Linked DNA regions of Daphnia pulex. The protein of the gene in region 1 interacts with the protein of each later gene in a pairwise test. Links are inferred from orthologs where the notes say so. Each region holds a gene or a part of one and is shown on either strand. Other genes may lie near its edges.

Region 1 (4,532 bases):
TTTTGAAGAGCAGTTACCCTTGCCACAGCCTAGGAAGGAAACAGTACTATCACTGGACGTTGCTAATTAAAAAGCACCCAAGATTATCATAAACAAAGCCTTTGCTGTAAACATACCTCATCACGCTGTTGCTCGGCAACTATCGCTTTGCATCTCCAAGCATCGCAAGCATTCCTGGCTTGCGACAAATCCTCTTCTAAGGAGAGCACTTTTGCTTGGTGATTTGCCGCATCATCTCGCAACCTCTGTAATTTTGAATCATTTTGTTACTTGGTATTACTCAGTTAGTAAAATTAGTTAATAATCGTTATTCCGTACGTCATGATTTCCAAGCGATCCACTCATCGAAGCCACACTGCTTAGTAATGGTGAGTGGTTAGCACCGGAGCCTGTCAATCCTCTACAACTGTTGTTACTTGGACTAGTTTGGTGATTCCCCCAGTCAATAAATGGTGCACCGGTGTTACTATAACTTCCAACCTTCAACAAGTGTTAGCTAAGCAAGAAATTCTTCATTGGCAAGTCAATTACCCTTTTAAAGAAAAGAGAAGTCGAATTGTTTGATCCTTCCAATGGTATTTCGTGAGCGCCAACTCGTATTCCTGAGAACAGATTAACAGCCGGTGGTGAAGGTGACAAGCGAGGAGGGTGGCGATCAAGTCCACTTCGTGGAATATTAACCGGAGCAGACCCCGTCAGCAATCCTACACCCATCGTTATTGATTCACACAATGAAGGTTGTTCGGATTCATATTCTCGACTACTATCCTTAAACTGCTCTTCATTTTCATCCATTGCATGTCCAATAACGCAATCTGGAGCATTTGTTGAATTGCTTAATCTATACATAATAATTGTTAGGGCCTTGCTCACAAATTAATTAAGGTGGGATGAATAGTAATAAGTAATAACGTTACCTAGCCGCAGTCGGAAAATACGCGGCTGGTTGAAGATGTGACAATAGACCACCCAACGTTCCCGTACCGTATAGATTAGATTTCTTTGAAAGAGTATCGAATTGATCGGGATTTGTAATGGGATCCCATTCATCTCGATCCAAACTTATCATTCGATCGATTCCTGATGAGTTCATGTCGGCCCCTGGCACCGACAGTGATCTGGGTTTACATATTGGGTGTACTAGTGGGCCAAAGCCACCTATGGTGGTCCCAACTGCCGTTGGACCACTAGAAGCTAAAATTGATTCGCCAGTTTCAAGACTTTGTAATCGGCTGTAAGCTGTTTGCATAGGAACGCTAGTGCTTGCTGTGAGGAGAAATAACTCTAAATATTTGACATGAAATGCTAGGAAAAGTAGTAAAACCTGTGGCGGATGACGAAGTAGAATGGGTATCCAAAATGCTTCTAGGAGAATTATCTAGAAGTAGATCGATACTACGTCCGTCATTCAAGTCATTCAAATTGGTATTTTCTTTTCCGTAAGTTCGGTTATTTACAGCAGGCAATGCACTGGACAAAAGTTCAGCCAAATTGTTTCCACCATCCTTAACAGAAAAAATAGTAAGTTTTGGCAAAAGATTATAAATACTCCATTACCTGGTATTGACCATTATCTCTTACCACTTCAAAATCTCCGTGAGCAAAAGCACAAAATGATCCTCTAGGACAATAACTATTCGTCTGCATGTCATGACATTTAGTGGATTTGTATATCTCTGGATGAAATTGCTGCTCAGTTCGGGTGTGGCAATACTGACACATATCTCCGTTGTCACACCCAGAAGGATCACCCCATTCTTCTCCATGCTTGGCGTTAGGACAGGGTGTAGAACTAAACAGGAATGAAAAAAATAAAAAAAAATAATAATATTATTTTTTTTTTGAAAATTGCTTACAAAACACAAGGTTATATTACTTAAAATATATAAGTAATACATACCGGTATTTAAATTTTTTAGGACTCCTTCTGCGGTCTCGGCTGTTGTGATACTGAGGACAGGCATAGCCTTGTCGACATAGACGTGGCGGTTTTTTGCATTGCTCTGTTTTATAATTGGTTAAAACATAGTTTGTGTCCTGCCATTTGGGATCATCATTCAGAAGACTTCTTTCTTTATCAAGGGCATTAGGTCCACTCATATCTGCCTCAGCAGTTTCTTTAGCCTGTGATAATCAAAGCTGAATTTTTAAATGTAGGAAACAAATTTAATGATTTGCATTACCCTTATATCTCTGATGTCATACACTGGATTACGTAAATCAGAATTCCCATGAGCAAATGCACAATGAACTCCATTTTTTACACAGAATCCTCTTGTGTCAGTTTCATGAACACATGGAGCAGTTTTGAAGTACCTCAAGTGATATCTTCTCTCTGTGTCACCAGCAGTACGATGAAGGAAAGGACACTCATCACCATCTTGGCAAATACCTATGAAGATATAAGGTTTTATTACCTAAAAAGTTAACAGTCAAGTAGAGCAGAAATGCATATTTTAAAATGACAATGTTCCATTTTTATTGTAAATTTTGAAAGCAAAAAGATACAAAGTTTTTTTAGAATACCTGTAGTTTCATCATACTTTGTGCAATACTCATCAGCACTGTAATTCAAAGTACCATCCCTTCTGCGTACAGGTTTGCGCCTTCTTTGATTTTGAAAATGCCAGTGAAAGCAGGTGAATGGTCTATGTTGTGTACACTTGTGTTGTAAAAATAAAGGGCACTGTTCGACGCGGAATTTGTAAATATACGCATGATGCTGAGGTATTTCAGATTGCTGAATGGTTAAGTCGCGTGCAGTTACGTTATCAGGCATTTTTAGAAAATTGCACGTGACAACTCCCAGTAAGTGAACAGATCAAAAATTAAGACCTGAAAATTATTAGTGGATGTTTTGACGTTAGAGTAAAATTCCGCAAACTTGTAGAATATTTAAATTATTGACGTTATAATTTTTGTTGATACGCAACATACGCAACAGTAAAAAAAACCTCGTGACATCTAAATGAAAAGGCCAAAGCACCTTCCCCAGTTTTTGTTTGCAGACAACGCCGTCATGCTTCTGTAGCTTCCGCATTTCACTAATAGATGGCGTTTCTATACCGTCGTTCCTTGAAAAACCAGAAATCAGAAACTAGAAAATTGCCGGCTGTGGGCTGGCATTGAGTTGCTGAATGTTTACAGGTTTTCAAGGCAAGCAGCCAAGCAGCTTGGCGTTTTTACAGTTCACGTTGGGTATCCCGCTTTTAATCAAATATAATTGATCGACAAATTTGAAAACTCAACTATGGCAAAGCATCACCCAGATTTGATATTTTGTCGGAAACAACCAGGAGTTGGTATTTGAACATGAAATTCTATTCTTTTCATGCTATCTATTATTAATGTCTGATTTTGAACATTTAGCTATTGGCCGGCTGTGTGAGAAATGTGACGGAAAATGTGTTATCTGTGATTCGTACGTAAGACCATGTACATTAGTACGAATCTGTGATGAATGTAACTATGGATCATACCAAGGACGGTGTGTTATCTGTGGAGGACCAGGTGTCAGCGATGCATACTATTGTAAAGAATGTACAATTCAGGAAAAAGATGTAAGTGTGTAGTCCAAGTGATGCTTTTTCATTTTAGTTCTTAAGATTGAAGTTATATTGAAAGCTTAACGTATTTGATCTATTACATATCTTTGTTCTTTTCAGAGAGATGGGTGTCCAAAGATTGTTAATTTAGGTAGTGCTAAAACAGATTTGTTCTATGAAAGAAAAAAGTATGGTTTCAAGAAGAGGTAGCCTCATCACACTTTCCATTTACAAAAGTATGAATCTTTGTTGTAAATGAACAACCTTTGTGAAAAATACACCTTAATTTCTTTCTATCTGTTCAAGTAAAAAAAAGCCTCATTAAATGAAAAGGCCAAAGCACCTTCTCCAGTTTTTCTCTTTTTATCTCTTTGGGTAATAAATTAAATAGTGCTATCATTTTCTCCTGCTGTTTCTGTTAAAAGTTAAAATAATTCAAAATAATACTAAAATTTTTCATTTAATTTTAAAGATATTAGACAGGTTTGCATTGCAAATAAACAAATATACATTTGGTGTGTAATTGCTGTACCAATGAAATATTTTGCAAGCAGTAATTAAGACAGCAAAAAATATATTAAAATAAGTAAATCTTATATTGTAAGATGGCGAAGTTGTCCTAAATATATCGGGGTGGACGATTTTTTTTAAATATTGTTAATTCTAACCACGAGCAAATTTAATGAATAACAACATGATAACAATCAGATTCCCTTCAATGTACAGTGGGCACCTAAAGTGTCCGGACACCCGAGAGAACCTTATGGGAAAACCGCTGTTTTCGCAAGGCGAAAAAGTGGTCAAATTTTCATTCGATTTGAATGAAAATTTTTTCGTAGGTTCTCTCGGATGTCAGGAACAACCAATTTTTTTTTTTTGAATTTTAAAATAAGGGGAAGGGTAGGTTTTTGTCCGAGGCAAAAGTGTCCGGACAGTAGAGAGGCCCATATGTAAATGGGCTTACTTTAGGTTCAAATTGTGACTCAC
Region 2 (4,473 bases), on another chromosome or scaffold:
ACTGGCGCAGTGGGGACACGACAAATCGCGACTGTACTGCGAAAAGTTTTGAAACCTTTGCTCCGGCTGCACCACTAATCCGTTGCACTGATTACACTGGAGGTGCGAAAAATCAAACAAAGGAAATCATTAAAATTAATACAATTACAAATTATTTGCGAAATAATTATAATGTAATGAGTAATTACAATTTAATTAATCGAAGAATAAAAAATAAAATTGAACATGAAACAAAACTGAATCAAAATTAATTTAATTACAATTAAATTAGAAATTGTGGCTTTTAATACATTTTTCAAGTGCAATTAAATTTAAAAATGATTTTAAAATAAATATGAAAAAACTGAATTAAAATTAATTTAATTACAATTAAATTAAAAATGGCGGATATTAATAATTTCTCAAGTGCAATTAAATTTTAAAAAAGGGACTCACCCTGAGGCGTTCTGGACAACACGGAGTGCCAGCAAATACGTCGTAAGAGTACAGTGTGCCGAGAATAAACGAGCCGCCGTTCCACGGCGTCCGGCACGACCGGCATCTCAACGTGCACGTCCAACCCTCCAGACACGACTGCAAAACACACCGACAAATAGATCGTATGAATTATTATATTTCGTGTGTGTGTCTCGGGTTGAACGTTAAGTCAAAATGGCTAGAAATCACCACTCACCATGCACACGGCGCTCAAATATTGTTGACGTCCTTCCGAAGTCACCTGTTTAAATATATTAAAATAAATCAAAATTAAAACCCCCAAATTGTCAATTGAATGTCCGTGAGAGAAAACTGGTTCAAAGCGGATTGGCGGAAAAAAAAAACCTTGGGCTACGCAACAAACCAAATCCGCGCCATTACTACACGTGCCGACTACTATCGTTCAGATCGATATCCAGTTTTTTTCAAGGTCACATTGAACACTACCTGTGTATGTCTAGCCAGGACGATAAATATTTGCAAAAAGTAAAAAAAAAATTGACGTAATATTCTTACGGGAATGCAGGCCTTGGAGTACTGCTTTGGAGCCAGGAAGAAGGTGCCGTCAATGAGCGGATACCTGTCGTAGATTTGCATGGCGTTCTGGCAGACGACGCAAAATGTCTTGGACATTTTCGCCGTGGCCAAATTAGACAAAATGAAACAACGAATGTCATCATTCCCGTAGCTGCCCTCGTCTTCCATCTGTTATTTTTTTAAATAAAATAAAAACCAACATTTTAAATTAGAAATGTTGCACCTATTTAATTTGCATCTATTTAATGATAAATAATTGAATTCTTTACTATTTTTCGTCTTCCATCTTTTTTAAAAAATCAACATAGTAAATGTTGATTCAGCAGTTTGTTCTTATCATTTAACTATTTATATTTATTAAAATCCCAGTTCATTCACTTGGTATCAATTTCGAACTTTGCCCATAGGCGATAACCTTTTGAGTAAACGCGAAAATAAAAGATGGAAAAATTTCTGAAATATTTTTCCAGCCGAAAGATGGGAAGCAGGTAACGTTGCCATGGCGACCGTCTCCACGTGCAGCCGGTTATCTGCTTTCCCCCCTCAACACACATATGACCTTGATACACAAAGAGAAGAACCACTCCTCCTGCCTATTACGACCTAGAGTAGTAGGGGACTTACTTTAATGTGATAAGAGTTGAGCTTGTGGCGTGGTAACGCATTGAATGAACTAAAGTTGGCCCGATGGACAAACAGGCCACTGTTTCCCGATCCTCGCCTGATAACAAAATGTGTCCAAAATATTTAATTCATATTCATTTAATAAAACGTGAAATTAAGAATTTTACCTTTCCCGATCGTTGGAAGTTCGTTTATTCTTGTTATTGCTGAGAACAAAGACGGGAGCGGAAGAGGCTCCGGCTGAAGAAGAAGATGAAGAGTTGACGGCTTCAGGTGGTGAACTGGAGCCGGAAGATGAAGTCGTCGATCCGGTAGACGACAGACTATTGGCCCGGTGACGAATTTGATTGTTCATCATCATTTGGGCTGCACTACTACTACTGGGTTTAACATTAACGGCTTGTTGCTGTTGCTGTGGGCCGACCTTAACTATTGTTGTTGCCGATTTACGCCGTTGTTGTTTATTCTTTTGCTCATTTTCGCCAACAACAGCTGCTGCTACTTCCAACGGTTTCTTGGGCTGCCATTCGCAATCTTTGCGCAAATGGCCACGTCCGCACAGACACCCGCAGGCCTAACACACCAAACACAATCAACTATACAGTTTCAATTTAATTTGAAATGAAATTAAATTTTACCTTGAAGGCCAAATCGTATCCTTTTTTGGTCCACAGATTTTGACTTCGTTGACGCTCGGACCAACTACGGGCGCGGCCGCAACTACGCAAATAGTGCAGGACCGAGGCCTCCCACTGATCGAAGCACTGGCGATGCATCAGGCCGCTGGTCGGGCAATGCTCGTTGTTACACAACACCTTAACAATTTCACCACCATCTTCATTACTGCTGCCTTCAGATGATGTTATTCCGTCGACGATCGTCATGCAGCCGGCCGGTGTGCAACATTCTCCATTTTGAATGTTGTTGGGCATTTTTTCTTCCAAGATACTTTTTCAAAAGATATTCAACAATTGTAACTAATTCAACATTAACAACACGATGATTGTCAGTGATCTGCGCATGATCACCAACAAAAACAAAATTTTTTCAAAAGAAAAAAGGTGGAAGAGGGGGGGATATTAAATTGTTTCCAGTGTCTGTGGCGTGTGGCGTTGTTGACTCGACAGCCGACCGACAGAGACTGAAGAACATGCGACTCATCACGTTCGCCATCATAGTATAACTTGTCCTTCTCGCCACGCCGTCTGGCGGAATTCTCCGACAACCTATTTTTTAAATAATTCTTTTTATTTCTCTCGAGAAATTTCGATGAATTTGAATGTCTAAATTCTATTGAATTTATTTGACGATTTTTTAATTTAAAATTAAATTTGAGATGCTGAAAAACGTGTTGTCACGACACAAAGAAAATGGGAACCGACAGGAAATGGCGAAAAGAAACAAAAGTTTCAGCATGTCCAGACGTTCTATTCTTTTATTACGGCATTATTAATATTATCCCTGAGAGATTTTTAAAATTCTTATTTTAAAAAGCCGAAGGCTTACCGCCTTTTAAGGGTGAGAGATTTGAAGAAACAAAAGTTCCGACAGCGCTCCAAATAGTCTTAACTGTGAGAGGTCCCTGGGGAATTGGGGCAATTCGTGATTGGTCGAAGTGGTTTTCGGGACCGTGACACGTTCGTGCTGCTCCGATCGCGACGCGACTAATCCCATTCGATGTAGAATGACTTTTAACACAGGTAATGACTAAATTTTTTAAGTATTAACGAAATTAACGAGAGATTGGGAGCAAAAAGGGGAAAAAAAGGGGAAACTTCTAAAATATAGGAAAAAAATGTCTTCTAAAATTAGAGGATGCAACCACCTCTAATTGAAAGATGAACCTATCATTTAACGGAAAAGACTAAATTTGCATTACGTTATTTGTGGTTCGCGAGATATTTGACCAAGAAAAAGACACACAGATTGACTTTCAGTTGATTGTGTGCTGACTAGCAGACGACGTTAATTTGCAACAGCCAGTCTGCTTGTGGAATGTGGCATGGCCTACTGTGGGTATTTTAATTTGATCGTTTGAATGTTTGTGATTGATTTCATCTTGTGAAGCACTATGTTTATATTTCAAATTTTAACTATTGCAGCATTATAATAAGGAAAGAAAAACATGCCTATTGTGTCACAACTGATGGTTCCTTTACCTATCAAATCTGAACCACATTGGCAGATGGTTCACATGTAGGTGCTGAATCAACTGGAAAACGTTCAAAAAAAGGGAATTGAGAGTATGTGTTCATTTTTTTCGCTTATCTTTCTGTGTGATGAACACTAATCAACAAAATTATTTGCAGATTACATTTATCATCAGACATACCTCCATTTCAGAAAATTTTATCGTTAAGATGACAAGTTGGAAATTGATTTACTGTTTACATGTCACCTTAAGTGATATCATTGCATACCAGACTTTATTTGGATGCAAAACAAATTTCCCTCATTTAAAAGGCATGCATGATTTAATGGTTGAAATTTTGTAACGAAGAAAAAAGAAAGCTGCAGCTGTGGAAAATAGAATTGACAGGTTGTATTGATTATTCATTAATCTTTCTGTATGATGAAAACTAAACCACAAAATTATTTGCAGATTACATACATCATCAGACGCATGTCAGTTTCAGAAAGATTTGTCTTGAAGATGACAAAAGTTGCCAGTCGATTTACAAGTCACCTTAAGTGATGTCATAGCAGGAGCTTGTCATTTAGAATTTAGATAGTTTGTTACCATACTTTATTTGACATGATTGTTTTAGAGTTATTTCATTTTTTTTTTTTCAGGCATACTTCTATTTCAGAAAATTTTGTCTTGAAGATGACAAG

Evidence for each region.
Region 2: the proteins of RING finger protein unkempt-like (region 1) and headcase protein homolog interact in binary tests that used the Drosophila melanogaster proteins (3 or more experiments, as listed by UniProt). The link is inferred for Daphnia pulex from reciprocal best matches to the Drosophila melanogaster genes unk and heca.

What each region holds. Positions count from the first base shown.
Region 1 is NC_060023.1:5,054,804-5,059,335, forward strand, and holds the start of RING finger protein unkempt-like, read right to left. Parts: upstream 3,002-4,532; 5' UTR 2,780-3,001; coding exon 2,527-2,779; intron 2,393-2,526; coding exon 2,184-2,392; intron 2,125-2,183; coding exon 1,901-2,124; intron 1,793-1,900; coding exon 1,558-1,792; intron 1,506-1,557; coding exon 1,325-1,505; intron 1,267-1,324; coding exon 918-1,266; intron 842-917; coding exon 532-841; intron 481-531; coding exon 319-480; intron 246-318; coding exon 117-245; intron 30-116; coding exon 1-29. Other genes in the region: PHD finger-like domain-containing protein 5A, read left to right, coding at 3,251-3,302, 3,370-3,560, 3,666-3,755. UniProt on the Drosophila melanogaster protein: Essential for late larval/early pupal development.
Region 2 is NC_060028.1:336,481-340,953, forward strand, and holds the start of headcase protein homolog, read right to left. Parts: upstream 3,100-4,473; 5' UTR 2,571-3,099; coding exon 2,277-2,570; intron 2,213-2,276; coding exon 1,806-2,212; intron 1,736-1,805; coding exon 1,639-1,735; intron 1,183-1,638; coding exon 994-1,182; intron 719-993; coding exon 674-718; intron 574-673; coding exon 436-573; intron 97-435; coding exon 1-96. UniProt on the Drosophila melanogaster protein: Required for imaginal cell differentiation, may be involved in hormonal responsiveness during metamorphosis. Involved in an inhibitory signaling mechanism to determine the number of cells that will form unicellular sprouts in the trachea.